Linked DNA regions of Pelodiscus sinensis. The protein of the gene in region 1 interacts with the protein of each later gene in a pairwise test. Links are inferred from orthologs where the notes say so. Each region holds a gene or a part of one and is shown on either strand. Other genes may lie near its edges. The genes, in order: SH3YL1 and SH3D19.

Region 1 (16,035 bases):
ACTTCTCATCATCCCCTCAAAATAGTATATTTGTGATTAATTATATAGTCAGGGACAGGAAATATATTTTATCAAACTCATTATTGCCTTACTTTCACTTCGCTGTAATCTCTCCAGGTCAAGCTACAATTTTGTTCTGGGAATTTCTACAAACTTGTTCATGGTTGCATTTATATTAAAAAACTCGACAAAGTATAATTTGAAGCAGCCATTAAAAATGCACATGTGCATGTATGTTTGAGACATGGTTTCTTTTTGATTCAAGTGGTAATGTGAAAGGAGGATTTTCACAAGAGCCCTGAAGACCTCTGCAGGTTTTACCACTGAGGCTTCACAGGTCAGTTTGAGAACCACTGACCTAATATAAAAATAAATGTAAGTATGCTGCTTGCAAGCAATAAAAAAAATAAAATAAAAAATTGTTACCTGTAAATGGAAAATCTAGTTCTAATATTAAAACAGGCAAATTTGTAATAGTGTACTGTGTTCAATTCAGTTTGGGTTATTACATAAAAATTAGAGACTGGAAAGATCAATGGAGGGCAATTAGTATGACTGAAGAAATGTAATCAGAAGCTTAGAGGAACTATGCATGTATTCTTTAGAAAAGGAGAAATTAAGTTTCTCCTTTATTAAGGTCTACCAAAAATTCTAAAGGGAACAGAAAAGAAAGATGCTAACAGCACTACTTGATCTTGTGTCAAATGCAAGAATTAGTGACATGAACTCAAACTAAGGAAAGATCAGGTCCTAAAGGAATATTCCATACACACAGAATAGTTAATGGAAATAAGTTATGTGCATTCATTTGAATGTGTAAGTCATTTAAATACATGAAGTTCTGTTTATTTCAAGGCATTTCTCTCTGGAGTGTAATACTTGAAATATACGCAGAAAATTTCAGACAGTATTTCCGTTTGGTGAAGGATGCACCTCTGATTCTTGACAAGAATGCTCCAACGTACGTTTAAGAAGATTATCTATTTGTAAGTTTCCTTTGAAGATGATTTTCATTCTTGGGTCTGAGCTCTTTAATGAAGGGTTGGGAAACAAGCAGCTCGCGGGCCAGACAAGGTTTGCCAAGAACAGCCCCTGGTGGGCTGCCAAACAACAAACCTGGTGAACTGTATCTGGCCTGTAGGCCACTTATTGCCCATCCCTGCCTTAGTGAGAGGTAGAAGTTCCCTCAACTCAAAGAATGTTGATCCTAAGAGCAGCAGTACCAGGTCTGAGTGCAAACCAGGTCCTCCATTAGACCTGTACAATATAAATGCTACCCTTCCAAAATGCATGGGACTCAGAAGACAAGACATTGTAAAACTATTCAAAACAGAAGGAATATGCCTCATAGAAAGAATGTTAAATATTTAAAACAGGGGTAGGGAACCTTTTTTGGGTTGGAGGCCACTGACCCACAGAAAAATCAGTAGGGGGGAGTACACAAGTGAGAAGCAGGGGGAGGGGCAGCTGGAGTGCCAGGGTGGACTAATGCCAAGGGGGGCCTGAGGTTCCCCACCCCTGATTTAAAAGTTGCAAGTCACTCAACTGTTGGCCTAACTTTCCTCCCATTTACTTCAACTAGAAAAGTAAAGCTAATGCTGATGACTTTTGAAAATATCACATAATAGTTAAAAGTCAATCTCTCCTAATATTTAATATTCAATTTGACACGCCATATACTCAACAATGGCTGTTGTGATTGTTATGAGTATTACGCTGAACAAAATTACTAATTTCCTCAAGAAATAAAATATACTCTTTTCTACCTGCCGTGCTTTATGAGCTGTTTCAATGCCATGATTTCTTAGACAGCTTAAAGCCCTTGCATCTGGGGAGCGCCCCACGTTCCAGTCAGAAACAGCACCACTGTCTGTCATCCACTGCAACAGAAGAACCACATACAGAGACACATTTAAAGGAAATAAGAGTACACTACCTGTCTGGCAATATGATTCATGGTAATGCCATGCTTCCTCATGCAAGTCTGTCCCCGATAATCAGGAGGGTTTCCTATTTCATAAGTAGATGTTGCTGCACTGTCTATTCTCCACTACAGAAAAACAAATTCAAATGTTTATGTTTTTCTTCACACAGTTTATATAAATACTGACTAGTTAGAAGAAAGTATATTTTGGCAACTGTAAAAATAAAAGACTGACCTTATTTTCAATGTTTTCATCAGTTACAAGTTTTCTAAAAACCGCTTCTGCTATGGGTGATCGGCAAATGTTCCCTGCAAAAACAAGAGATGGAACTAAAGTTTATCTATAGTAAAAGAAGCAAGACATTGGTTGTAAAGTATTGGCCAGCGTAAGTCTGCATGGACAGGATTGTAGTTCACATAGTTCTTTAACAGTTGATTTTATCAAATCCCCTAGGTGAATCCATTGCCAGTAAAGACAATGCTGCTAGAGCAATATGTTTATTTCCATCTCAGTACATGAGGGGAGTGAAGAAACTGCACCATGGAGCCTGCCACATACGGGACATCACTTGCATTTAATCCCGAATCTTGTTCCCCTTCTGTATGGTGTAATTACATTGCTTCTCCTCCCCCCACCAGAAAGACTTTCTGTAACCATAACTGAAATAGTAGAATTTTGAACTCTGTCTCAAATGAATGTTAACACCAAGTTTCTGTCTCTGTCTTTCATAGTTTTACTCAGAACAGTCTGGAAATTCTAAGGCAGCGTTTCTCAGCCCTTTTTTAAAAAAAGATATAAAGTATCCCCCCCTTTTTTTTAAAAAAAAGAAAAAAGTACCTCCAGTAGCTACAGTTTTCAGACATAACATTTTTTTTCTACCATTGCAACACATTTGTTTAAACAACTTAATTGTAGCCGAGCAGGCAATGAAAATTGTGTGTAAAAAGTACAAAAATAAAGCAGTGCTGTAAAACTTAAAAATTCAGTTTTCTCCAAATTTCAGTTGTGTTGACATACTCCCCCACGCTCCCGACTTCGAGTACCCCTAAGGGTACTCATACCACTGGTTGAAAAACACTGTTCTAAGGGACTTCATATGACTCTCATCCCCATGTATTTCCGATGCACTCACAACATATAGAATATATTTCTGACTACGATTAACTGGATGATTTGTAAAAGTTTGTTTAAAGTATTCATCTTAATCCCCAGCATGGTCCACCTGAGCTGCATTTTTCACTCTTAAAACAATCTTAAACAATGTAGAATGCTAAAAATATTTGGGAATATCACATCCTTGCCCAAATAAAATAAAATTCAATACAAATTTTGCAGACATCATGAATACAGCACATATGAAGAATGAACTATATTCCTAGAAGTGGTCTCTTCACAAAGAAAAAAGTAATGTTACTGTAGGGGGAAATACAAGCATCTATAAGCCATCCACCAACTCTTAAAAAGTGTATGGATTCTTTTCAAGGATTACAACTGGTCAGAATCTCACAGATGAAGGAGCTTAATGTCCCTCATACGCTGTTTACAGTACATAAATATGTTCCTGTTAATACTCATGCACAGCATCATTATAAAAATTAGTTTACATTAAGGATGTAAAAGATCAACTAGTGATCATCATCCTTACCCAGCATTTTGAGCAGATCCCTTTCTGCCATGGACAGGGGGCAGCTCCAGCCCCGCAAGACTTACCAGACAGGGGTGCCAGTCTGCTAACTGGTCATGAACTTCTCTCTGTCTGGCCGTGGCACATTGCCAGACCATGCCTCAAGCTTTTATTTAGCCCCCCGCCCCCACTGGAGTTCACCAGGGAATTCCCTTCCTACCCACTTATCCACGCAGCAGCAGGGCAGGTGGGGAGAAGGGCAGCTGGGACTGTGGTGAGGCTGTTTCTACTGGGGCAGTAGGACCAGTTCTTTAAATCCGGTTCTGGAATCCACAAGAGGAGAGGGCAATTCTTGTTTTAGTCCTAAGCGAAGTGCAGGATCTGGTCCAAGAGGTAAATACACCTGGACTTGGAAATAGTGACCATAATGTAATAAAATGTAACATCCCTGTGGTGGGAAAACAAGAGGACTAAAACAAGAATTGCCCACTCCTCTTGTGGATTCCAGAACCAAATTTTCATCTCTCCATCCTGTCCTAAGGTGATGTGTACGCAGTCAATATGGGAATAGTTGAAATCCCCCACTTTTATTGAGTTTTTCATTTTGATAGTCTCTAATCTCCCTTAGCATTTCATAATCACTATCACTTTCCTGATCAGGTGGTCAATACTATATCCCTACTGCTATAGTCTTATTATTGGAACATGGAATTACTATCCACAGAGATCCTATGAAATATTTTGGCTCATTTAAGATTTTTACTTCATTTGATTCTACATTTCCTTTCACGTATAGTTCCACTCCCCCACCAGCACAACCATTCAATATATTTAGTATCATAGTAGGGCTGTGTCCCATTGATTGTCCTCATTCCTCCAAGTTTCCGTAATGACAATTACAGTAAAACTCCATTGGTCTGGCATCTGATGGTCCGGCACTCCTGATGGTCCGGCACCATCAGGAACCCGGAAGTGCTCCGGGCAGCCGGACCATTGGAGCTACTCTGCCCCCAGCTTCCCTGTTTCAGCCAATGCTGAAACTGACCAGCGGCTGAATCGGGGAAGCTGGGGGCAGAGCAGCTGGAGTACTGCCTGATAGGCCCCGTAGCGCTGCCCCTCAGGGCTGCGGGACCAACCCGGCAGCAACCCAGCAGTCCCCATTCAGCCACTGCTGAAACTGACCAGTAGCTGACTCCAGGAAGCCCTGGGCAGAGCAGCTCTGCCACAGGCGTCCCCGATTCAGCTGCTGCTGAAACTGACCAGCAGCGGCTGAATCGGGGATGCCTGAGGCACAGCCGGACTATCGGAAGGGGGGGAGGGGCTATGAGGGGGTCTGTGGTGGTATCCCCCCCACACCACCCCAGACTCTTCAGCCCGGCATATCTGATAATCCGGCACCCCCTGGGTCCTAAAGGTGCTGGACTATCGGAAGTTTACTGTATATCAATATCCGCCTTTAAAACGAGGCATTCACCTATCTTATTACTTAGACTTCTAGCATTTGTGTATAAGCACTTTAAAAATTTATCTGTCTGCCATTTCCTGATGTGTTAGATTCTTTTTCATTTGATTGTCTCATCTGATCTGACCCATATTTTATCATCTTTCATCCACTCCTAACTAGAACATAGAAAATCTCTATTAATAGACCTTCCCCTAAGAGATGTCTCTGTCTAATCCATGTGCATCTCCGCACCCATCGGCTTTTACCCAGCCCTTAGTTTAAAAACTGCTCTACAACCTTTTCCATATTACATAGAACCAGTTAACCAATTCAACAGGATTTTACAGAGGTAGTTTACATCAATGCAACTTAATTGGAAATTACCAGAGTTAACTGCACCTGTGTAAACCCCATTTTAGATTTAGATGCAGTTACCCTAGAGCAAATTTCTCTAGTGTAAAGAGGCATTAAGACAAGTCATTGCTCCAGTATTTATTGGAGGAGAGTATCATTTAATGCATCACCAAATACACTTTTGGCAGTATATCAGGGCCTCCTGTTCAAATACATATCTGGGCTGACATCCTTGCTATGTGAGTTTCTGTGATCATAACTTAATACAGCTGCAAAAGCTTTTATAAAAAGGTTAAAAAAATATTTTCATGTGTGAGGAAACCAAATGACTGCATAACAGTTTTCTCCAGAAGGTATGTTTTTTCTTCACTACTTTTTAATAGTAAGGACATGTCCCCTTAATCCCTTCTACCTGAAGCAGAAAACAAAAGTGATTATTTCTACAGCTTTCATCAAGCAAAGAACTAAGTTTATATTAGTAAGCTATTGTCCATATGGCTGAGGCTTTTCAATCACTATGTAAAATATAATGTTTATTACTCCTAAACATACAGCAAGGCAGGGGTAGGCAACAAGAGACTCAGGGGGGCTGGATGTAGTTTGCCAGGGTTAACCCTGACATGGTAAAGCACGTCCAGCCTGTGGGCTGCTTATTGCCTACCCTGGGATTAGAGAATAGAGCAGACAACTGAAAGTTAGGGAAAGAACACAGGAGCTCTAAATTGTCGCATGCCTGTGGATAAAATCAACTACAAGACACACAGAATTTAACAATCTGCATGTAGGGTATAATCTGCCAGTTACTGGCACTAGGAAAATTAATGGATGAGCACCTACAACAAAAGATACTATACAAGTGTAAAAAGAATATATATATATATATATATATTTTTAAAAAGTCTACCCTTAAATTAAATAAAAACTTCAACTTGTTCTCCTTTTCTCAGTCCCAATTTCTCTTTTATGTATTTGGGTTATTTGCATTGTTGTATGTTTAATTTATAGTTCACTGAGAAGAAAAAAAAATCAGCAATGATCTAATTAGGCATGTATTAATTAGATATTTTGCTGCATAATGAATATCAGTTTCTCTTGTTATAAACAGAAAGCAGATAAGTGAATATTTGACTATTATTTTTTTTTCCGAAACAAATGCATAAGAAAACAATCTGACTGTCTGAACCCTTTTACACTGTGGAATTAACTCTCAAGAGCATAGGAGTATCTTCAGAAATGATAGGCTGTTTCACCCCTCAGACAACTGAACACTTGAATTATTGAAAGTTTCAGATATTTAAAGTGTGGATTAAAAATAACATTTATAATTTTGAATTGACTGGACTCTCAGTTTTATTCTTTGAATAAAATATTACATATACTTAATGTTAATAGTCTATCAAGATCATTTTTAGAGCACAGGAAATTTTAGACCACTACAAGTTGAACGAGGGGATTTTCCATACCAGGGGAGGTCTCTCCCAACATGGCCTGTGCTGTTCTGCTGCCTGCCTCCGCCCCAGCTAGGGCTACTGCCTGGCCCTGCTACTGCCTGCCTGGCCATGGCTAGTCAGGCTGGAACTCCGTAGCTGCTGCAGCCAGACCTAAGCTCCGCAGTCAGAGCTCTGCAGCCACAGCTGAATCCCAAGCTCTGCGGCCAGAGCTCCACAGCCATTTCCAGACCCCAAGCTCCAATGGCTGGAGCTCCACAGCCACTGTGGGACCCCAAACTCTGCAGCCGGGGCTGGAGCTCCCTGGCTGCAGCTGGGGCCAGAGCTCTGCGGCCACTGCTGAACCCTACTACCTCCTGGCCACAGGGAGAAGTCTCTGCTACACCACCCACCCCTCTGCACACATTCCCTCCCCAATGGGGCTCCCTGGTGAGTTGCCGCCCCCATGGCCAGACCTCCCTATACCTGGGCTCTCTGGTCCAGGAACATCCCTGGTCCTGCCAGACCATGGATGTTGCCAGACCAGAGAGTCCTGGTTAAGGCAGGTAAAACCTGTAGAAAAACACCACAAAACTCAACAATGGCAGAAAGAAAGCACAATTCAGTCTTAAAATTATATTTTAAATGAATGAAACTGACAGGTCAGCATTTATTACAAAAAATAAGCTCTCCCACACATCATTCAGCCTTTGTTGTCATATGACTCCAACTCTTTGGGTAACTAATATAAGGAAAACATTCAAGGGAGTTAACATTCATTACAATCATTTCAGATCAATCACTTGTTCTTTCAGACTTTATTCATCCTTCCCTGAAAATAGTTAATATGATTTATTCTCTCCATTCCCAAATTTCTCTAGTATTATTTAACACTGAGCTAAACACACAGAGCAAGCCATGTCCCTGCCCCAGAGAGTTTACAATCTAGAGGTGCTCTATTAGTGGTTATTAGCTGTTTAATTAATTGTAGACAGAAGACATTAAACTGTAATTTGCTGTGTAATGAATATCAATTTTTCATTATAAATACAAGGCAGATATGGTTTCATAACAGGTCTAATTTAACAAATGAAGACTGGCCTTCTCAAGGATCATCTTAGCTTGCCACACTCTTATATTATGATGTCAGTGTGTAGACAACGACACGATTAAGCGATAACCATAGGTTTATCAGCTAAACCTGCTGGCTACATGTATCCCTCCCTCCCTACACCATTCTGCCTCTGAATAAGAGGCAGCAAGGGGGGGGTGACGGCTTTTAAGCAGTCTCTCCACGAGCACAGGATCTGCATGCCATCCCCACTCTTGTGCTGCTGCCTCTGATAGAGAGGCAGCAGAGAGGAGAGTGAGGGGGGCAGGCAGGAGTTGATACATGCAAGGAGCCAACTCCCCCGAGCATCAACAACACAGACCCACCAACTCACCCCACCCTCCCCGGCGCTGCTGCCACTGCAAAGGCTGCTCTGCAGCAGCAGCCTCTGTTTCTGGTGGATTCAAGCTCCTCGCGGACAGAGGATGCTCTGTGCCAGTCTGTGCAAGGAGATGCTTTTTATAGATGTAGGAGCGGGACCTGGCAGGAGGTTCTCCAGGAGCGGGGCTAGGAGCTTACTAGGGCTGACCCCACTCCCAGGGACTATTGAATAGTCATGTAACCACTACAATTCAGTAATTATGTAACTGCATCAAATTACATGCTATCTAATATATATCCAATATCCCTATTTCTAAGTGAAATTCTTCTCATTTCTCTTCACTGATGTTTATCTTGTTTATTTCAGGAAATTCAGAAGTTTGTTTACAGCCTTTCTTCCAAACCTGGTGTCACACACACATGCATATTCTCTGCCCCATTAAATAGCTCACCCATAAAAACACGATAGTATCATAACCAGAACCTTCGCTGCAAACTCTATCGGGGAGATACTAAGCATGAACATGTAGCCTGCGGCTACACGTACTATGACCCTGTATCAAGGCCTCTGGGCACAGACCACAGCTCCTTGGGAGTGGAGTGAGCAAGCAGACTAGGAAGGGGAACGTGGATAGGAAAGACTCGAACTGCGTATTAAAGGAGCAGGGGGCTCCTCAGCTACGCAGGGTGCACCTCTATCCTCCCTCCATTGAGTCACTCACCTTCATCTGCTTCCTGGGGAGCTGGGGGGAACCTACTCGGGAGGGCACGGGCTCTACTCTTACCCCTCCCCAGCCCGCCCTTCCTGCGGCTGCTGCCCCGGAACGGCCCCTCTCTCCCCTGCGCGGCCGCCCCGCACTCACCCAGGCACACGAAAAGCACAGACTTCACATCCCCAGCCGCCATCTTCCTCCCCCGGCCGAACCAAAAAGAAGAAGGGTCCTTCCTTCGGGCTTCTTCCCTTTGCCAGACCGTCGCGAAAACTTCCCCGCGCTTTGCGGCGCCGCACGTTAACGGCGTCTATTGTGTGTGCCTGATAGGAAGTGAAGGTGGGGAATAAAAGGCACTACAATATTCTCGCACAGTCTGGCAAAGCCACTGGGGCCCGAATAATAAACCCATCATGGCGTTGACGTGTGTAAAAACATCAGGCACTTGTATGGACAACCCCTCTATCCCTCCCAGCTGCACCTGTCCCAGGTGAGCAGCTCCCAGGGGCCCTTCCTTCACCTTGCAGCAGGCAATCAGGGCTGCGAGATAGTTTGGGCCTGGCAGCGTCCTCTCGCCTCTTCCCAGTACTGTGCAGCTGTAGCCAGGAGCCTCTGGAAGGTGTTCCAAGAAGTGAGTATGGAGGCTGCTGTGCTTTCAGGCCGGGGAAGGGGGCCAGCCCTATGCTGGGAAAGGATCGTGGTTCTTGGGGTCCTACCTTCCCAACTCCTACTGGGGAGGTGGAAATTGGGTGTAAGTCTACACCTCAAAATTAAGTTGACTTAGATCAACCTGTGGCTATTGCAGTACTTAAAACGTTTTTGCAGGTTAGCACTTGCACCTTCTGTCAGTATTGTGCACCCTCACCAAGAGTGCTTGTGTAAGTCTTCTGCCAGGTAGCACCAGCAGCAGCCAGGACTGGGTTCAATATCTAAGGGTTCCTCTGCATCCATCCAACATAAAACTGGTGTGAGCCTCCACTCAGTAACCTGGGAAATTCACACAATACTCTATGGGTGCCTCTGAGAGGCAATGCTTCCCCACTCCAAGCAGAGAGTCTGAGTGGAGAAAAAAAACCTTTAATAAAAGGGGAGGGAACTAGTGTGTCATTAATTTGGGAAAAACACATGGTTTGTAACCAAAACCATGAGAAACAGTCCTACCCCAAGTAGGTTGGACACTGTCCTTTTCCTCTTGACTTGTTAAATCCAGCAATGTAAATGTCCCCTTCATGTGCCCAATCCTTCTCTGCACACCACTCACAATTGCTGTCCTTGGTCAGGACAAACCCAGAGTTCAGAGGTGCATCTGCAGAGTTCGCCTCTCATCCTGAGTGGGGGGAGATAAGGAGGCATCTTACTCCATTAGTCACTACCATCCAGCTGCTCTCTGCATTGCTGGCCATTTGTCTCACCTTGCTGCTGTTGCTCTGCTGGCCGCTCTTTACATCTCTCCATCGCTGTCCTGCTGGCTGCTTTTTTGCTTCTCCATTGTCACTCTGCTGGCTGTTCATCGTGCTGCCGACACTCTGCTAACCACTTGTCAGCATCTTTCACTGGCTTGTGGTGAATTTGGCTCTGGGCCAAATTTAGTGATTTCAATTCTTGGCCCAAAGTACAGTCCAGCCACAAGAAATTCCAGCATACATTAGAGTAATTTTAAACTAATAAAGAGACTCCTTATGGCATATGCTCTAGTTCTATCATTAGAATAGAGTGCAGGGGGGAACAGGTTGAACCCATCTTATAGCTCACACCTGGAGGGCATGTAGCTTGCCGATTCAGAGCATTCTACTCTTCCCCCAGATAAGGTCACAAAGCTTTGGCAGGTGAGACCTTGTGTATCCAAGGTTCTTTACACTGACATTCTCTCTCCTTTTGAACTGAGCTAAACACAGACTGACTTTTCTGCATTCCTACAATAACTGCAAGCACTGGTGATCATATCTCAAAATTCCTGAATTTAGTGTCAACACAGTTTGTGACTCTGTGACAACCAAACTGGTTACAATGAGCAAAACACTATTGTAACAGCTGAATATCTAACACATCTAAGCAAATCAGGGGCAAACTGTATTTACATAAACACATCCAGGATTTCTTTCCCGTTCCAACCTGCTGTAATGGAAGCATTGATTCAGACCCTGCTTACACTTGCAATAATTTAACTGTCAGTGTGAGGCATGATAGTGCACTGGCAGCTGGAGTGCTCCACCAGGATAGGCAGCCAGCTAGAGTTATTATTTTTCAATTTGTGATAGAAGGAATCTTTCCCTCTTCCTTCCCTGGGCAAGGCTGCTGCAACCCATACCCCTCAGTAGTTATTTACAGCATCTACAGAGAATGCATTTAGATAATGTTAGCACAGTTTTCTTAAGCTGTGGAAGTAGGAGTACTGCAGCACCTTTAGCAGGACAGAGAAGCTTTTAACTTAGATATCCCAGTGTATTGTGACTATTACTAAATGTTGCTTTAGACCTATGTGGAAAAAAAACCCCTCACAGATTAAAGAACTTTTTGGGCAACTGGCAAATCCATAAAAAAGCCCAACCACGCTGATTAAATTCCAATCAGGTGATGACCCTGGCAGCTGGAATGCTACTACTCTGAGTATCAGCTCAGCACAGTGGGCTTCTGGTCTTTTAACTGCCAGTCTGATGTAAGCAATGTAGTGTCAATGCTAATGCAGCATTGACAAAACCATATTGACCAAAATTGTCACACCTTTTTCAGAGATGAAGTTGTTCAGTCAGTATACTAGGTGACTTGCACAAGCAGGAGCAATATTGTAGTGTAGCAATTTTTAGAAATAAGCCAATATAAGACAGCTTCCATTAATCTAACTCTGTAGTGTAGACCAGGCCTAAGTTAGGTATTCCTCTTGCATCAATAGCCCCCTAAGCCCATAAATCCTGACATCAGTGTGCCATAAAAGCTAATCTTTGGGATCTGCTGGAAGGTGGAACTGGCTATTTTTTTGTTCCCTATCTTGCAAATTATACAGCTTAAATATATAAAATTTATTTTCCAATGCTTCATCAAAAACCTACAAACAAAAAATGTTATTGCAGCTCAATGCAACACTACTACAAAAAACACAGTCTATACTGGGATTCTAGGGGAGCCTGCTGAATTTCAAGTCTTCAGTTTTCATTGGAATATAGAACATAGATACTACAACTGCACCTTTAAAATCTGGCTCCAAATTTCTGATCTGACATTTTGATCCTTTGAGATTTTGGCCAGAAATTGGATAACCATATTAGTGAAATGGGGAATAAGTGTTGCCTCTCCCATTTAATCAAAATAATCTGGCTCTTAGCACTTCCTGATAAAAGCAACTTTCATGTGCTCTAATTTGATAACTGTATTGGGCTGATTGAAATAATCTTGATCTGCACTACCATCTTCTAGTTCTGTTGCCTAAATTTAGTCATGGTTGATAAACATTTATTTTTTTCTTTTTCAAAATAAACCTCTTTAAAATGTGAAAACGTGGCAACCTATATTAAGGACTAAATTCACTATAATCTGTAAAAAGTAATTTGAACTACATTTTAAAAAAAACATGCTTCCTGCTAGTTCTGTAACCTTTAGTGGAAACCACTGGCTAAGGACCTGGAACCAGGTTTGGGTGAACACCTGCTTTTGACTGCAGTAGTCTCTTCTGCAGGTGAATAGACTATATTTTCTTCTTTATTCAGCTAATTCATTTAAATTAAATGATTAATTCATTCAAAGTTGAAAAATGGATTGGGAGTTAAAAAAGAAAAGCTTGTTTTTCTTCTTGTAATATGTGAATAAAAATGAGGTGTGAGAAGATGAGATTAGCTGGAGTTCAAATCTTGAAGGACGTGCTGACTAGAAACAACCTTCATTGGCTTTTGTTTGAGTTTATGACTTGTTTACATGCTAGACTCCTTGGCCTATTCAGCAGGCTATTCAGTAGGCAATGTACAGAAAGTCTGTTTATCTCTACTGGCTTTCAAGTCTATGAAACCCCCCCCCCCCCCCCAATTCAATTAATTAACTACAGATAGTTACTTTATTTAATGCATTAATTAGTTTTGATAAATTTAGGATTTCCCCCCTTATTAATCATGCATATTTTAGGTAGTTTTTAATTAAGAAAATAAAATTGAACAATGCTGGTTTTGTGCATTTTTAATTGAATTTCAAATGCATATTTCATTTCAAAATGAAATAATCATAAAAATATTCACAATTTTCAAACATAACAAATGTTAAGATTAGGGCTCTCCATTAATCACAGGTAACTCGCACAATGAACTACAATTAATTACACTGTTAAACAATAGAATGCCAATTGGTATTTCTTAATATGGATATTCTAGGATATTCAACATATTTATAAATAAATGATCTGGAGAAAGAGGTAAATAGTGAGGTGGCCAAATTTGCAGATGATCCTAAACTGTTCAAGAAAGTTAACAAAGCAGATTGTGAAGAGCTTCAAAATGATGTCACTGAACTAGGTGATTGGGCAACAAAATGAAAAATGAGTTTTAATGTTGATAAATGCAAAGGAATGCACACTGGAAAAACCAATCCCAACTATACATACAAAAGGATGGGGACTAATTTAGCTGTAACCACTCGAGAGAGCTCTTGGATTGGATAATTCTCTGAAAACATCCACTCTGTGCAGCAGCAATCAGAAAAGCAAACAGAATGTTAGGAATAATTAAAGGGGATAGAGAATAAGACAAAGGATCTCTTATTGCTGCTATAAGTCCATGGTACACCCACATCTTGAATACTGCATACAGATGTAGTCACCTCATCTCAAAAAAGATATATTGGTGTTGAAAAAGGGTCATAAAAGGGCAACAAAAATTATTAGGATTTGGAATGGGTGCCTTTGAAGAGAGATTAAAAAGACTAGCCTTTTCAGTTTAGAAAAAGAGGAGATTAAGGGAGGAATATGATAAAGGTCTATAAAATCATGACAGTTATAGAGAAAGCGAATAAGGAAAAGTTATTTATTTGTTCCCATAACGTAAGAACTAGGGGTTACCAAGTGAAATTAATAGGTAGCAGGTTTTAAACAAACAAAAGGAAGTTTTTCTTCACACAGTGCACAGTCAGCCTGTGGAACTCCTTGCAAGAGGATGTTGTGAAGACCAGGACTTTATCAGAGTTCAAAAAAGAACTAGGTAAATTCAAGGAGGTTAGGTCCATAAATACTTATTAGATTGGGTAGGAATGGCATTCCTAAACTTTTTGTCAGAGTCTGGAAATGGATGACAGGAGAGGGATCACTTGATGATTGTTCTGTCCACTCCCTTTGGAGCATCTGGCATAGGTCACTGTTTGAAGACAGGACACTGAGCCGGATGGACCTTTGTTCCAACACAGTACGACTGTTTTTATGTTTTTCTGCATCTTCAAATATATTAATTTATATTCCAATGCAGAACAAAAAGTGTATAGTGCTCACTTATTATAAATATTTGCACCGTAAAAATGATTTAAAAAATATTGGTTGGATATCCCTGTTCCGGCACCCTCAGGATCTGACCAGTCCCAAATGAGAGAGATTGCCAGACTAGGAGAGGTTCCCTCCCGATGCAGGCTTGCCATCCTGTTTTACTCTTCCCTGCTGTCAATGACAGTGGATCCCCAGCTGCCACTGGTCCTGTTGGGAATTCCCCACGCTGGGGATCCACATCACCCTCCCTCGGCCTGCAATAAGTGCCCCAGCTATGAGCTTTTTCATTCAGCAACGTTATCAAGGGCCATAATGGATTCTTCATCACTGACTATTTTAAATAAAGATTAACCATTTTTTTGTGAAGTAAATGTTGTAGCAGTTATTTTGAGAGAGTTCTGTGGCATCTATTGAAGTGGAGGTCAGACTTGATCAAAATGGTCCCCTCTGCCCTTGGAATCTATGAATTTCTGTAGTGGAAGTAATCTCTCATAAACTTTGGCAGTGAACATCTACTTCTCTGATATTTTTAATATAATTCTAATCATTTCAATATATTGTGTTAAGCTTAAATCTTAATGTAGGCTGTCAAATTTAAAACTAATGTTTAAAAGTTTTTAACATCCTTAATTTATATTTAAAAATCCAATTTATATAAACATATTTTAGCCTGTTTTCAACTGTGCTTCTGTTCTGAAAATTTCTGTCTAAAAATGTCATGGTCATGATTGGCATATGTGTTAGCATGTTTCATATGAAAATCATTTTATGTTTGTAAGTAAACATGTTTTTGTAACTGCCAGAGCTGCAAAGTCAACATGGGACCTTAGAGAAAAGTTAGACTTTATTCTTCTTTAGCATCATCTGCAGGCCAAATAAGGTTTTTAGTTACACTTGCTCAGCTCAATTTCTTTCAGTGGAGCTACACAGATGCTTCTGAGTGCTTCTTATACAAACTGTCTGACTCACTAGTTCCTCGGGAACGTAATGACTGTTTATCTCATATATTCTAGTTAATTAAAAGTAAGGAAGCATCACATAGCTTATTAGCTTAAACCTGAAACTTCTCTATGTACTGTAAACATATATTATTTTTCTTAAAAAAACCCAAACAAACCCAAAAGTGCCCCATACAGCTGCAGTGGTATCATTTTACTCTGTTCTGTTATCAGCTATCATTTAGAGAAATTATCCTAGGAGGATGAGAGAAAATTCAGTTGGTATATTAAGGGGTTTGTTTCAAGCTATTTTGAATACAGAAGCTGCTAGGAGCTGAGATCACCAAATCATATTCATAATACTTTTTTCCTCTGTATTATAATTGTTAAAAGTCAGATTTGCCTGAGAGTTTTCTCAAAGCTAATAGTATATTGGATGGAACATTAATATGAAAACAAGTTACCAAGTGATGAATTGTTTGGATGAGCTAACTGCCTGCCTTAAGTGAGCAAAGTACAGGTTGTACCTCCCTTAACTGGGACTTTCTGCTCCAGCAGCATCTGTAGTCTGGAAGGATCAAGGATGTTTCTGGACGAGAGAGCCCTGGGACAGGAGGCCCAGCAGCTGAGAGCCCGGAGGGCTACTGGTAGTGGGGCTAGAGCTGCAGAGCTGCAGCAGTTCAACTGAGGCCCTGGCAGCTCAATCAGCAGTGCAACCTGGCAGAGGTAGCC
Region 2 (16,636 bases), on another chromosome or scaffold:
CCGGGCAACTGCCTGGCTAGCCCTCCCTTAATCTGGCCCTGCACGGCAGGACCCAGTACCATCTAGACCACCCCGATAGATATCTATCTAACCTGCTGTTAAATATCTCCAGAGAGAGAGATTCCACAACCTCCCTAGGCAACTTATTCCAGTGTTTAACCATCCTGACAGGAAGCTTTTCCTAATGTCCAACCTAAACCTCTCTTGCTGCAGTTTAAGCCCATTGCTTTTTGTCCTGTCCTCAGAGCCCAAGGAAAACAAGTTTTCTCCCTCCTCCTTGTGACACCCTTTTAGATACCTGAAAACTGCTATCATATCCCCTCTCAATCGTCTCTTTTCCAAACTAAACAAGCCCAATTATTTCAGTCTTCCTTCATAGGTCATGTTCTCTAGACCTTTAATCATTACAATCACTGGGGCTATGAACTTACTGCAAAACCATATACCTCATTTAGAACTGGAAGTATGCAGTCAGCAATAGAAAAACAAACAAACAAAAACCCAGCATATACAGTACAGGACAGTTAAATTTAAACTACTAAAAAAAGGGAACGTTTTTTAAAAATTGATAAGGTAAGGAAACTTTCTGTGCTTACTTCATTTAAATTAAACTGATTAAAAGCTGCATTTTTCTTCTGCATAGTAATGTTTCAAAACTATTACATTGGCATTTAGTTTGTAAACTTTTGCAAGAACAGCCATAACACCTTAGAGTTCTGAAGAACATTTATTCCCAATGAGTTCATATCTGTGGGGTTCTTCTGCAAATATCTAAATATGCAAATATCCTCTGTTAATATACAAGTCACTCCTACATACTAAACTTGAATTTATAGGAAAAAATATCTAGGCTTCAGATATCCATAATATGCTTTGGAATTCACTAGCTCAAGTATAGATCTAAACTCTGAATTATTTAAGTGAAGATGGACAGTATAGCAAAGAAGACATTCCCATGATCTTACTGTGAAAAAGCAGATTGACAGAGCTGAAAAAGTACCCACACATGAACTACTTCAAGACAGGCCCAGAAGAGAAAACAACAGAATTCCACTTTTCACCTACAGTCCACAACTTAAACCCTACCAATGCATTATCAACATCTACTATCTATCTTAGAAAATGACCCCTTACTCTCAGAGGCCTTGGGGGACAGGCCAATTCTCGCTTACAGACAACCCCCTAGCTGCAAAACAAATTCTTTCCAGTAGCCACGCAACACACCTCCATCATAATCACTCAGGAACACACCACTGCAATCAGCCCCGATGCCAAGTCTGCACGCACATCTATATCAGCAATTTCATCAGTGGACCCAAACGACATAAGCCACCAAATAAGAAGCTAATTTAACTGCATATCCACTAATATGATCTATGCCATCAAATGCCAGCAATGCCCCCCTGCAATGTATATTGGCCAAACTGGATAGTCTCTACGGGAAAGAATTAATGGACATAAATCAGATATCCGAAAAGGCAATACACAAAAACCTGTTGGAGAACACTTTAATCTTCCTGGACACTCATTAATGGATCTCCAAGTCGCTGTTTTGTTTCAGACCAATTCTACAAGCCAAATACACAGAGAAGGACTGGAACTTAACTTCATTCACAAGTTTAATTCTAATCCTCTGAACTGGGATATAGGATAGCTCACACACTATCTTCTACCTTTCAATGACTTAAACAACCAACCACACAATGAAGGTGCTAATGGTTCTTAGCAGCCTCTTGAAACTACTTGCACTATCTAATCACTGTCTCTCTTTTTCTTCCTCCCCTCCCCCCCTCCCTTATTTATTCTTGGATCTGGACTTATTATGCTCCCATCATCTAAGAAGTGGGTTTTGCCCATGAAAGCTCATGATACCATCTACATGTTTTGTTAGTCTTTAAGGTGCTACTAGACTATTTATTGTTTTTTAAATTTTTCCTGTTACAGACTAACTCAGCTACCCCTCTGAAGCTTACTGGTTCTGTAATCCTAGACCAAGCTTGGAGTGGATCCAGCACATTATTTAGAGCAGGCCTTCTAAATTCAACAGATGATAAACCAAGAGGCTATTCAGGCAGGTGAATGTCTGAGGAGTAAATGAGTATCCTGATTGTACTCCACGTTCAATAAACTCCTTCCCACATATTTTGGAGACTAAGAGGGGGTATGTGGAACCACACTACAGTAGAGAAACCCCCAAGGGAAAGTTCTACCATGTTTTTAGTAGCTTTATTACCCACATGGAGTAGGTGAAAAACTCCAGCTTTCATTGCAAGTTGGTGTATCAAACAATTCTAAGATCTTCAGGTTAAGTCATTTTTAAATCACAGCTGCACAAAATGAGTTAGAATAATTTTAAATAAGTTGAAATCCATTCTTTTTTACCACAGCTGGTTAGATTAGCTGCAATAACTTCACTTTTTGCATAGATCAAGTCTGTGAATTTTTAAGAAGGGGTCAAAATGTGGTTTAGAATTACATAATTTTACAGATTTAACTGTGCAGTCCACTGTGATTCTATAAATATCACACTGCCCCTGGGAGGTAAGTCATATTATTGCCATTTTACAAATTGATAAATGCAGGCTGAGGGAACTTAAATAATTTGCCCATGGGACTGTAATGATTGAGCTGGAACTAATCTACACATAAACATGAAAATTCTTCCTCCTTCAGTGTACTGAAAACTTAAATAGATATGTCATTTTTTTCTAGTGAGAAAGAAAAAGGAGCATTAAGAAAACTTCTTATTGGCTCAGATGGCAATAGAAAGTTTATGATGCATCACACATACAGAATGAGAAATGACTGTCCTGGAAGGACCACTGCAAAAAGGGATCTTGGGATCATGGTGGACCTAAGTATGAGTCAAAAGAGTGACACTGTGGGAAAAGAAGCAAACATGGTTCTGGGATGCATTAACAGGAGTGGTGTGAGCAAGACACGAGAAATGATTCTTCTGTTCTGATTAGGCTTTAATTGGAGTATTGTGTCCAGTTCTGGGCACCACATTTCAGGAAAGATGTGGAGAAACTGGAGAGGATCCAGAGAAGAACCACAAAAATGATTAAAGGTCTAAAAAACATGACCTATGAAGGAAGACTGAAAAAATTGGCTTAGTTTAGTTTGGAAAAGAGAAGACTGAGAGGGGAAATTATAGCAACTTTTAAGTACCTAAAAGGGTGTCACAAGGAGGAGGGGGAAAACCTGTGATGATAGCACAAGAAGCAATGGGCTTAAATTGCAGCAAGGGAGGTTTAGGTTGGGCATTAGGAAAACATTCCAAATTGTCAGTGTGGTTAAGCACTGGAATAAATTCCCTAGGGAGGTTGAGGAATTATCATTGGAGATATTTAAAAACAGGTTAGACAAACATCTAACGTGAAGCCAGGGGACTGGATTTGATGATCTCTTGAGATCCCTTCCAGTTCTAGTATTCTGTGATTCTAAAACCTTGATGGTCAAAAGCAAGGCAGTAAACAATCATATCTCCTAGAACTAAATACAAAACTGATAAAAACCATTCTGTAAAGGTTACTGAAGAATTCCAAGTTGCCATCCACTGTTTGCTTGGCTGTAGGACTTCGGGTAGATTGCATTACACTAGTTTCTTTAATATATCATATGTAACTCCCCATTTGTAGAACCCTGAGTACAAGGTTTGTGGTTACACTTTGAGGCTACTTTCTCACAACTCCTTCACTGTATAAACACTATTACTCTATTTCAGAAAATTAATTTTCTAAACTTTAGCAACTCTATGGATTATAAAACCCCTACTTTCAGAGTCTTGTCATGATGGTGGAGGTAGCCACAATCGATTAAAAAGATGCAAGGGAACCAGTCTTAACTGGAGACATTTCAAGGGGGCCTGAAGGATAGCTGTATATCATTTTTCAGCTACATCAAAATCCAGTGGATCCAGCTACCCAATGAACACAAATGGAAGTAAAGTCATCAGCTCCTCACTCTCAGCAATCTATTATCTACTTGTATTTTCTGTGTCAGTCTATTGGGAACATTCTTGATATCTTTGATCAGAACAGAAATGTGTTTTAGTATCTAGGAGCTATGTTTCCCCTGTTGAAAACTATATTTAATTCCTTACATTTTTTACAAAAGCACTTATTGTTGTTCTCTGGTTGTCAGGGAACTTGGATCCTGTCCAAATATCGATGCACTTGTTCCAGGTTTCAGCTGCTTTAAAGTGAAAACCTGAATTGATATTTGACCACATGAGCAGTTCTTTAGCAAAAATATTTCAGTGGAAGAACAGCTTACTTTTGTATGGCCGTATAAAGTACCATCTCCAGGGACAGGGATCAAAATAAAAGATCTCAGTGGCGCCTACAGTTGTAAAGATAACAAGTTATAGTTGTTCTGCAGAGAGTACTAAGGCATATTTACCTAGTTACACGCCCTTACAGGCCTTTCATCACTTAACATTGTGGAAGACTAAAGTATGTAAGTTGTGGTGAATAATACAGGTTTGAATAAGTTATTATACTATGGTACACTTTTTTCTTACACAGCCGTGCATGTGCAACATTTGTTACATGGTAAAGATAAATGTGTGCTCCTGGTCTCTAATGGAAATATGAACAGAATTTTCTAGGCTTGTTCAAAGTTATGATGAATCCAATTTACAGACTTCTCCCGCCACGATCTTGCTTCTCTGAAGAGGGCTTACCAGAGCAGCTACAGTCAGACTAAATCTACATATAGACCTATATCTAGACATTGTAGATCTATGTCTGTCTGGGGTGTGAAAATTCACATCCCAGAGTAATAGTTACGCCAATCGAATCCCCATATAGACAGCACTATGTTGACAGGAAAGCTTCCCCCGTTGACATAGCTAACGCCCTCACAGAAAAAAATTAAAAAACAACGAATAGTCTAGTAGCACCTTAAAAACTAACAAAACATGTAGATGGTATCATGAGCTTTCATGGGCACAACCCACTTCTTTAGATGATTAGAGTATTAAAAGTCCAGATCCAAGAATAAATAAGGGAAGGGGTGGCGGGCAGGGGAGAAGTTAAAAAAAGGGAGAAAAAAGATAGTGAATATATTGTTCAAGTTACAAGAGGCTGATAAGAACAATTAGCACCTCCATTGTTTGGTGGAAGTCAGATCCTAGTGAGGTAAATAGAAAGGAGCATAAACACTGCCAAATTAAATGTAGGTGTTTGTCTTTGTGGGATTGGAGAAAATCCTATTATATCTTAGGGCTTGGCTGTATACATAGATTGAGAAATGTGTCTGGGATAGAAGCTAGAGGCATGAAGGTAAGTGTAGTGGTCAATAGGTTTCCGGTGTAGAGTGGTGGAAATTTGCCCATAATTTAATTGTACTGAAGTGTCAAGGAAGGGATTTCTCTTGTAGATTTATCCAGGCTGAGGTTGATAGTGGGGTGGAAGTTGTTGAAATTCCTGTGAAATTCTTCAAGGGTCTCTCTCCTGTGGGTCCATATGATGATGTCATCAATGTAGCGTAAGTAGAATAAGAGTGTTAGGGGGCGAGAACTGAGGAAACGTTGCTCAAGGTCAGCCATAAAGACGTTGGCATGTTGTGGGGCCATGAGGGTGCCCATGGCTGTGCCGCTGACTTGAAGATACAAATTGTCTCTGAATCGGAAGTGGTTGTGAGGACAAAGTCGCAGAGCTCAGTAACCAGGAGAACAATGCGGTCATCGGGGATGGTGTTCCTGATTGCTTGTAATCCATTTTCGTGTGGAATGTTGGTATAAAGAGCTTCTGTATCCATGGTGGCCAGGATGGTGTTTTCAGGAAGATTGCTGATGTTCTGTAGTTTCTTCAGGAAGTCGGTGGTGTCTCAAAGATAGCTAGGAGAGCTGGTAGTAGTGGATTAAAAACACCAACAGGAGATGTTCTTTCATTGGTGTAGGAGCATCTTCACTATAGCTGGGGGAAGCTGTGCCTCTCCAGACAGACTACTATGGCCCCATTTGGTTTTCACAGATGCCCAAGTCTGCCTGGCCAGCCCAGGCTGGCTGGGACTGGCTGGCATGTCTCCCTCAGGGAATCAGGGTGGCTGGTGCTGGGGCCACATTGCCTGCCTGGTGCTTACACTGTGCCACCCAGTTTTCTGGGACTAGCCGCCCAGAGACCTGTGCTGGGGATGCAGCAACCACTCCAACCGGTGACTGTGCACCTGGCCATCTGCAGCATCAGGGCTGGGGTCATTGCTCAGAGGCTGTGGGTGCTGAGCTGTGCTACCAGGTGCATCAGGGCTGAAGTTTCACCCCCACCTCCAGAGCTGCAATAGGGATGCTCTGACTTCCTGCAGTGGAGGGGGACAGACGGGGGGGGGGGGGGGGAAGTGATCTAGCTACCCCAGGAGGCTGGGTCACAGTTGTCCAGCATCTTCACTAAAGTGCAGTGCTACTGTAGCACTTATGCAGGCTGGCTTGCAAATCACCTCTTCAGGAATGCATGATAGCGGAAACAATCAGGCACAGGCTATGCAAAGACTTCCAAAACCAAATACTCTTTACTTTATTAGAGAACACAAAAGTGTCTTTTCAAAGCTCCAGTTCCCCTCTTCAGGACTCAACTCCTCAAAGTCAGGCTTCTCTTCCCCATGAATCAATCAGTCTGCATGTGCTTGTTCTTGCTCTATCTCTTCCCACTCTGGAGCCCAGCCAGCATCCTTTAACCTTGGCTGATTCTGCTATCAAAATATCCCTCTCTCTCCAAAAGCTGTCCCTTTGTGCCACAGGTGAATCTTTTTTCTACCTCTCTCAGGCTCTGTAGTTTAAGACACAATATTAATACCCCTTTTTGTTCTGCTTCTGTGGAAATTCCACTCTTTAAAAATCTCTTGCAGAGAAGTTGGAGAAAACCTGTTCTCCCACCTTCAGCCAACCCATTGTTCCAAGGTGCTCCCATTTGAATGGGTGATGACCCACCCTCCCTCAACCCTGATCTGGAGATATCCTGGCAGCAAATGGTGGATTCCACGTCCACTGAGGCACTCTATGATACAGTGATTTTATAAACGCAACCAGGATACATCAACTGTTTGTGCATATTTAAAGCTTTAAAGCTTCATCAGGTTCTCCTTTAGCTCTGTATAGCTTTACAGCTTGTCTATTTCATCAACAGAAATTGGTCTAATAAAAATACTACCTCAGCTGCTTTGTCTCTTGTATCGTGAGACCAACACACTACAACAACACTGCAACCAGTTTGCAGGTTCCCAGCCTGTAACTATGCTTGGGATTCTTCCGTCCCAAGTGCAGGACTCTACACTTGTCTTTGTTGAATCTCATGAGATTTCTAGTGGCCCAATCCTCCAATTTGTCTAAGTCACTCTGGACCCTATCTCTGCCCTTAAGCGTATCTACCTCTCCCCCCAGCTTAGTGTCATCTGCAAACTTGCTGAGGGTGCAATCTATCCCCTCATCCAGGTCATTAATAAAGATATTGAACAAAACCGGCCCTAGAACCGAACCTTGGGGCACTCCACTAGAAACCGACCGCCATCCTGACATCGAACCCTTGATCACTACCCGCTGGGCCCGGCCTTCTAGCCATCTTTCTATCCATCTTACTGTCCATTTATCCAATCCACATTCCCTTAACTTTCTGGCAAGAATATTGTGGGAGACCGTATCAAAAGCCTTGCTAAAGTCAAGGTATATAACATCCACTGACTTTCCCATGTCCACTGAGCCAGTTACCTCATCATAGAAGCTAATCAGATTGGTCAGGCATGACTTGCCCTTTGTGAATCCATGCTGACTATTCCTGATCACTTTCCTCTCATCCAAGTGTCTCAAAATGGATTCCTTTAGGATCCCTTCCATGATTTTTCCAGGAACCGAGGTAAGACTGACCGGCCTATAGTTCCCTGGATCGTCCTTCTTCCCTTTTTTGAAGATGGGCACTACATTTGCCTTTTTCCAATCATCCGGGATTGCTCCCGATCTCCACGACTAAAGGAGCATGTTCTCAGCTTACACTACTAAAAGTAGTGTGCATCTTATGCACTGAATGGTTCCTTTACAAACTGTGAAAGGTTTGCTTTAAAGTAATTTCCAGGCATCATCCAGGAACTAGGGATGTTAGATATCATATAATTGAATAGTCATGTAATCAAATGAAATTTTAGCAGTTACACAACTATTTAACATTCCCCAGGGGCAGGGCTGGCAGCCAATGCGCTTCTAACCCCACTCCAAGGGAGCTCCCTGCCACCTTGCGCTGCTGCCTTTGTATCAGAGGCAGCAATGTGGAGTGGCAGGCAGGGCTGGTCTGTGCAGGGAGCCAGTTTAAAAACCAGCTCCCCTCGCAGACTGTCTGTCTGCAGGCCTGCGTTGCTGTCTCTGATACAGAGACAGAAGTGCGTGGTGGCAGCAGTCTCTGTCCATGAGGAACTTAGACCCCTCGAGGACAGAGGCTGCTTCGTGGCACCTCCCGTCTCTTCCGCCCCCTCCCTAGTTGCTGCAGTGTGTGCGTGTGTGTGTAGGGGGGGAGGGCCGGGATGGGGGGCATGCAGTACCACAGAGCTGGTGCTGGGGGGGACTGGCTTTTATGACCTGCCCCACCCCACTGCCTCTGTAGTCAGCAGTATGGGAGGGGGCTGGTAGGTCCACAGAGCCAGCACATGAGGGGAGCCTGTTTGAAAGCCAGCTCCCTGCAGGTATCGTCTCTAACCTATCAGGAGTAGCACTGGGGAGGTAAGGGGGGGCAGGTGGATCCAGTGTTTATGGAAGCGGCTTTTAAACCAGTTCCTCACAGGCACTGGCTCTCTCTCTCTCCACCTTGCTGCTTCTGATACTGAGGCAGCAAGGGGGGTGGAGACAAGCGTGTAGTAAACAAGATTAATCAATAAGCATAGGCTTATTATTAGTCATATAGTTGTCTACGCAACATACCTAACAGGAACTCTGTGGAAGTGACAGGGAGGGAGTCTAGTTCTCCGTGAGTCATTAATCACAAGACCATCCTTTCTTTCTCTGCCTTACTCAATAGACACCTACCCATATCTGCAACAAAAGAAGCAGAGGCAGTGGTCCAGTATCTTGTCTCTTTCACTACATAACCCATCTATCAAGTAACCTTAATTATAGGCAGCACTACTTTGTTCAGCCTATAATTATCTGAAGCCAAAAAATATATTGCTTGGACATTTCTTGGATATGGTGCCTATCATATTGGTACGTAAGCAACTTTTACTTTTTTCACAGCCTGTGGACCAAATTCAATGATAAATGCTGGTCATGTGCCACCTGAGACATGTTACACACACACACACACACTAATAAGAAGAGTAGGTTTTTTAACTTCTTGTACTTTTCCCAGTGAGAACCTTTGCTACTTAAAATGTCTCAGGAGGCTAGCCGGATTGGTCTGTAACTTTAAAAACAATTAACAGTCCTGTGGCACTTTAAAGACTAACAAATGTATTATGTCATGAATTTACCCACGAAAGCTCATGACCTAATAAATGTGTTAGTCTCTAAGATGCCACAGACTGCTCATACTTTACTACTTAATTCACCTTAATGTGAAAGTGCAATTTTTTTTCAAAGACAGCAAACCCTTTAAAACAGATCAGTTGCTTTATATTCAGGCACCAGTCTTCTTTTTTTTTCTGTCCTGATTTACACCTCTCCTAGGTTGCCACACACAGCTCAGTGGGATTGTACTGGGTATATCTCAGCATGCTGTTTCAACAATAGGGCTGGAGCCATAAATCAGCCAAGTCTCATTTGAACAGTGGCGATTGTTTGAGCTTATTTCAAGCAGTTTTAAAGGTCTTTCCCACTGGTGAGGAAGAATGTGCTGCATTCTTGAAGGAACATTGAAAATCCCACTCAATGCTGCACTGTTTAGAACGCTCCCTCCTTCAAAATGGTATCAGCTTGAGACAGCCCTGAAAATAATTTGGCTCCACAAGAGAAAAAAAAACTCGTGTCCCTTTTCCTTACATAAAAGTTTTCCAGCCTTGTCAAGTGCAACTCCATCTTCCTGCCCAGCTAAGAGGTCGCTGCCTCCTTCGCATTCTGCAGGCCTGATTGCTGCTTTTCTGCTCCAGGTACCTCCCCCTCCTCCTTTTGTTTTAGTGTCGGGCAGCAACGGAGTTTCCTGTTGACACCGGAATATTGTGAATGGGCAGGAAAAGCAAACGCCGCCTCCCTTTATTATCCTTTAACTTTCCCTCCCCAGCCAGGTAGTGCGTGCGCGGCTCCCTCTCCCCCCGGTCCGCGCCTGCTGGGGAAGGGAGGCGAGGAAAAAGCCCAAAGAGGATCCTGGGTGCCTCTGCTTAAACTTGAGCAGAAAGAGGCGGAGAGAAGAGGAGAGAGACCGCAGGGAGGCGCGGGGCAGAAGAGGAGCCGCAGGTGCAGAGTGGGGTGGCCGGGGCAGAGGCCCTAGCGCTGGGACGGTCGCTGCTCCCCACACGAGACAAAGAACTCCTCCTCCCCCCACCGTCGCTTGGCCCATGGGGGTGCCGGCTTCGTAAATGCCCCGCTCCTGACCCCTGGCTGATGGCTGAAGCCTGGAGGCTGGAGGACGAAGAGGAGGAGCGGAGGGAGCTCGGCAGAAGGCACCGCAGGGGTAACCTGAACTCTGCAGCAGGTAAGCAGGAGGCGGCGCGGGGGAGCCGCCGGCCCCCGGAGTTCAGGCCCGAGGCTAGCGAGTGCACGCGCGGGGGGGGGGGGGGCAGACGGAGCAAAACTGTGTTAATCTGTGACTGAGCCTTAACTAACAAATGCGGGTTTTTCGCCCTTCAGAGTTTGTTTAAAACCCTCCCTGGCGATGGTGAGTTTATCCCCCGTGTCAGGGGAAGAGGGAGGGGAGTCAGGGCAAGGTACAGTCATGTAAGCGCAGGGTTAGTTGGACAGGCTCTACTGAACGCTTATCTCCCTGATGAGTCAAAGCACCCGCTCATTAGTCAGAGAAAAGGTGCAAGGTCCAGCTTCCAGTGGGTGGTTAAGTGCAAATCCTATTGATTAATCCTTAAAATGCCTTGAGGATCACCAAGCCCCTGTTCTGTACTGAAGCTCCTCAGGGCACAAGGGTCTGCCAGCCTGGGGTGGTAGGCCTACATGTTGGCAAACAACCCCTGTCCTGAAGAGCTTGCAGTCTCAGGGAAGATGGTAGGTACTGCGCAGTCCAGGAAACGGGACTCAATACTTTTATAGGCGTCACAGAAGAAATAAGTTGTAGATTTTCTATACATAAAAGCTTTACTGATTTAACTAACCTAGATAACTGGTATAAATGTGTTCATACCAGAATAGTCTGCCCCAATATAGGAACGGGACTAAACTACACCACCAGGTGATTTAAGAAGGAATTTGAATGACAATAGGGCTTGACAAACAGGATCTAGGTGAATAGTGATAGAAATATAGCCGTGTTAGTCTGGGGTAGCTGAAGCAAAATGCAGGACAATGTAGCACTTTAAAGACTAACAAGATGGTTTATTAGATGATGAGCTTTCGTGGGCCAGACCCACTTCCTCAGATTAAAAAAAAAAGGATCTAGGTGGTAGTGATGGGGAGAAAGCCAGAAGACCAAGTGAGACATATTTGGAAGTCTGAGGAAACAGAAGGGTAAGAGAATGAGATAAGATAAAGGGTCAGTGTTTAGACTACAATAGATTTATATGGAGCCTTGAAGGCAAGGATAAGTTTTTTTCTTCTTCATATAATAAGCCAAGGGAACCAATACAGCCCAATAATAAATTATCCACGTAGCTTCTAATTCAGTCATTAGTTAAAGATCTTTTGTGATGAGCATCTTTTGCAAGTCCTTCAGGAGGCAGATATATTATTTATTGCTTCTGTCCATACAATATCCACTACCTTTTGTTTCAATTAACTTTATTATTAAAATTGAAAGAACTTTTAAAATCAGGTTTTAATTTTCAGCGTGTTTGTTTTCTTTCTGCATTTCTCTCATTGTTGACAATAGAAACTGATTAGTAATTTACATTTGACAAAGCTAGCTATATACATCAGTTTTAGAACCTTGCTCTGGCATTTTGTGTGATAGGAATAATTTATTTATGCATATTTAACTAGAAAAACACTTATGTTGATCTTAGATTTTGTAAAATTGTGTGTGTTCTCATTCTGGAACTAAATTTGATCCCAGAGTTCACTTCTAAGATATGAAACGTGTTTTAAAAAATAGAAAAAATAAAGGATTTGATTCTCTATTGCCCTATACTTTGTATAGTTGCTAATAATTAGTGAAAAGGAGTGTAAATTGCTACCATCTGTTTTAGTGGTGTTCTATACCTATTTTACTCTAGTATAATGACTTAATGCATGAGGGAATTTGCCAGACCGGGGAGGGCCCCTGCCACCGGCCCCCTTAGCCTGCCCCCTCTCCCCGCCTCCAGCTCCTTTGGCCAGGCTGCCAGCTAGGCAACACAGCTGCCCCAGCTCCGCTGCCAGAATGTCTGCCCCAGTCTTACTGATGGCATGGCGGCATGCAGCCCTGCCCCACTGCTGAGCAGCACCTGGTCCTGGCTACCTATCCTGCTACTGTGGCCCTGCTAGCGGGCTGCCAAAGCCCTGGCCCTGCTACCACCAGCCTCCCCGTGTGCAGGGCTTTCAGCTCTGCCCTCCTTCCCTGGGGGGGTGGGGGGGTTCTCTTGTCCAGGGACATCTGTGGTCCTGCTGGACCACGCATATTGCAGGACCAGAGAGTCCTGGTTTAGGGAGGTGCAACCTTTACAACATTTAATGTCTGAGCTAGAGATGTAATAGGGTAGTCAATTAACTGATAAGCAAAAAGCTTTTAGGTCAATGCTATAGGCTACACGCATTTCCCTCCCTCCCCGTTATCAGTAAATTTGTTAGCAGGCTAGCCAGAAGCCTGGTTCAGTCTTGGCTTGTGCCAGGTCCAGGACCTACCCCTGCTGCAGCTCTGCATTTAAAGTGTATTAGGAGCCAAGTGGGCAGGCACCCTGGCTCAGCTCCTGGACCCAGCGCAAGTTGGAACTCAGGCTCCCCCTGGTCAGGGACTGTTGCCACCTCTGTACCAGAGGCAGCAGGTCAGGGCAAGAGGCAGCTGGTCCACATAGGGAGCTGGTTTTTAAATTGGCTCTCCTCATGGACCAGCTCCCGCCACACTCAGCAGTGTGGAGTGGCAGAGGTCTTCTCGAGAGTGGGGCTGAAGCTGACTGGCTGCCAGCCTCACCACTCAAGAAAATCAGTAACTGATAAGGTAACCAGATAATGAGTGTGAAAAATTGGGTTGGAGGTGGGAAGAAATAGGCACCTACATAGGACAAAACTCCAAATATTGGAGACTGTCTTTATAAAATCAGGACATCTGGTCACCCTAGTAATTGGGCTTATCCAGTTAATAGTAAAAAGCTGTCATGATTGTGCTGCTGTATTTTGGTAATGTTATAGGCAGGGGCGGATATAGGGCAGGGCGAGCAGGGCAGCCGCCCCGGGCCCCGTGCTTCAAGAAGCCCCGCGCATGCGCTGTGGCAAAGGGGGGCCCCGCGAAATTGGGCTGCCCTGGGCCCTGCAAAATGGTCATCTGCCCCTGGTTATAGGTGTTTTGTAATACAGGAAAGGTTTGACTTTTAATACTGGCCTTGTTTTGTTCATTTGCTTAACCACATATTACTGTTATTTGTAATGCATCATGCCATCATCAGTGTGGATTAGAGAGGTTTTACTTAAGTTGTTTTTGATGTTTTTAAGATTCTCATGGGACTCCTGAAAATGGTTTTATTCGCACAAGGGTGGCTGACAATAAATGTGGCAAATAAGTTTCTTGTTACAGGCACCAATCGCTTTTCTAGACGATTTTTCTTACTCTGTTTCTTTTTATTATTATTTTTCAGATGTTTGACACTCAGGTTTGTAGAATTTCTTCATATCAGTTGGTCAATTTTAGGCAACAGAACAAATTCATAACTTGTATATTTTTCTCTAGATCCAGCTGAGAACAGCCCTATTTCTAAACACTCCTATGACAAATTTGTGGTGACTTGCTTTGGAACCTGATAAAAAGCTGGGTTCAGTAGAACAAAATAAAGATTGCATCAGAAACATGTAATCTCACGTGTCAATGTACAACTAAGAAAACGGCTGGGGTATGTTTGTGTGGGATAGGTTGATCCAACTCTGAAATGAGTGCTAGAAATTTACAAAGAACCATCTCTTTCACCAAAGAAACTATGAATCCTATATGAGAAAACTCTGCATTCCCATTTTTATGTACAATGGTCCTAAGAATAATAAACTATGTCTGTTTTTGAAATTATGGGGCCGTATCTTGCCCAGTTATGAGCTGCTTGGATGTTCATTGAAACATTAGGTGGACAAGGAGGTCCTTTTGGCACCATGCAGAAAGTGTTCAGTTCAGTACGTGGCAGGATTAAGCTTTATGAGATTTATATCAGCAAAAAAAAAAGTTTTATGCAAGAGAAAGTTATTTCTAAATAGACTCAGACTTTAAGGTCAGAAGGGACAATTATGATCATCTAGTCTGACCCCCTGCACAGTGCAGGCCACAAAATCTCACCCACCCCTCCTAGAATAATTCTCTCACCTATATCTCAGATATTGAAGCCTTCAAATACTTTGAAGACCCCAAGATGCAGAGAATCTCCAGCTGTGATCTGTACCCCATGATACAGAGGAAGGCGAAAAACCTCCAGGGCCTCTGCCAATCTACCCTGGAGGAAAATTCCTTCCCGATCCCAAATATGGCGATCAGCTAAACCCTGAGCATGTGGGCAAGACTCATCAGCCAGACACCCAGAAAGTTCTCTATAGTAACTCCTATCATCCCTCCATTGACCTATTTCACACTGATAATGAATGGTCAATTAGTTACCAAGATCATGTTATCTCATCAAACCATCCCCTTCATAAACCCATCTAGTTTAATCTTGAAACCAGATAGATCTTTTGCCCCCACTACTTCCCTTGGAAGGCCGTTCCAGAACCTCACTCCTCTAATGGTTAGAAACCTTCGTCTAATCTCAAGTCTAAACTTCCTACTAGCCAGCTTATATCCATTTGTTCTTGTGTCCACATTGGTATTAAACTTAAATAATTCCTCTCCCTCCCTGGTATTTATCCCTCTAATATATTTAAAGAGTGCAATCATGTCCCCCCTCAGCCTTCTTTTGGTTAAAGTAAACAAGCCAAGCTCCTTGAGTCTCCTTTCATAAGACAGGTTTTCCATTCCTCGGATCATCCTAGTGGCCCTTCTTTGTACCTGTTCCAGTTTGAATTCATCCTTCTTAAACATGGGAGACCAGAACTGCACACAGTATTCCAAATGGGGTCTCACCAATGCCTTGTATAATGGCACTAACACCTCCTTATCCCTACTGGAAATACCTCGCCTAATACATCCCAAGATCGTATTAGCCTTTTTCACGGCCATGTCACAATGGCGGCTCATAGTCATTCTATAATCAACCAGGACTCCGAGGTCCTTCTCCTCCTCTGTTACTTCCAACTGATGTGTCCCCAACTTATAACTAAAATTCTTGTTATTAATCCCTAAATGCATAACCTTACACTTCTCACTATTAAATGTCATCCTATTGCTATCACTCCAATTTACAAGATCATCCAGATCCTCCTGTATGATATCCCAATCCTTTTCTGAATTGGCAATAGCTCCCAACTTTGTGTCATCCACAAATTTTATTAGGACACTTCCACTTTTGGTGCCAAGATCAGCAATAAAAAGATTAAATAAAATTGGCCCCAAAACTGATCCCTGAGGAACTCCGCTAGTAACCTTCCTTCAACCTGACAGTTCACCTTTCAGTATGACCCGCTGTAGTCTCCCCTTTAACCAGTTGCTTATCCACCTCTCAACTTTCATATTAATCCCTATCTTTTCCAATGTAACCAATAATTCCTCATGTGGTACTGTATCAAATGCCTTACTGAAGTCGAGGTAGATTAGATCCACTGCATTTCCTTTATCTAAAAAATCTGTTACTTTCTCAAAAAAGGAGATCAGGTTGGTTTGGCACGATCTACCTTTTGTAAAACCATGTTGTAATTTGTCCCAATTGCCATTAGCCTCAATGTCTCTAACTACTTTCTCCTTCAAAAATTTTTCCAGGATCTTACATACTACAAATGTCAAACTAACAGGCCTATAGTTACCCGGGTCGCTTTTTTTCCCTTTCTTAAAAATCGGAACTATATTAGCAATTCTCCAGTCAAATGGTACAACCCCTGAGTTTAGAGATTTATTAAAAAATTTTGCTAATGGACTTGCAAGTTCATGTGCCAGTTCCTATTCTTGGATGAAGATTATCTGGGCCCCCCGATTTACTCCCATTAAGCTGTTCAAGTTTGGCTTTTACCTCGGATATGGTAATATCTACCTCCTTATCTTTAGTCCCATTTGTTATGTTACCATTATCCCTAAGCTCTTCATTAGTCTCATTAAAGACTGAAGCAAAGTATTTATTCAAATATTGGGCCATTCCTAGATTATCCTTAACCTCCACACCATCCTTAGTAATTAGCGGTCCTACTTCTTCTTTTTTTGTTTTTTTCCTATTTATATGGCTATAAAACCTTTTACTATTGGTTTTAATTCCCTTTGCAAGGTCCAACTCTACCTAACTTTTAGCCTTTCTCACTTTATCCCTA

The links.
Region 2: the proteins of SH3YL1 (region 1) and SH3D19 interact in binary tests that used the Homo sapiens proteins (3 or more experiments, as listed by UniProt). The link is inferred for Pelodiscus sinensis from reciprocal best matches to the Homo sapiens genes SH3YL1 and SH3D19.

What each region holds. Positions count from the first base shown.
Region 1 is NC_134713.1:35,441,511-35,457,545, forward strand, and holds the start of SH3YL1 (SH3 domain-containing YSC84-like protein 1), read left to right. Parts: upstream 1-9,388; 5' UTR 9,389-9,546; coding exon 9,547-9,547; intron 9,548-16,035. Other genes in the region: ACP1 (low molecular weight phosphotyrosine protein phosphatase), read right to left, coding at 1,937-2,050, 2,160-2,233, 9,070-9,112.
Region 2 is NC_134715.1:54,734,103-54,750,738, reverse strand, and holds the start of SH3D19 (SH3 domain-containing protein 19), read left to right. Parts: upstream 1-10,101; 5' UTR 10,102-10,516; coding exon 10,517-10,607; intron 10,608-11,112; exon of another isoform or gene 11,113-11,128; intron 11,129-16,636. UniProt on the Homo sapiens protein: May play a role in regulating A disintegrin and metalloproteases (ADAMs) in the signaling of EGFR-ligand shedding. May be involved in suppression of Ras-induced cellular transformation and Ras-mediated activation of ELK1.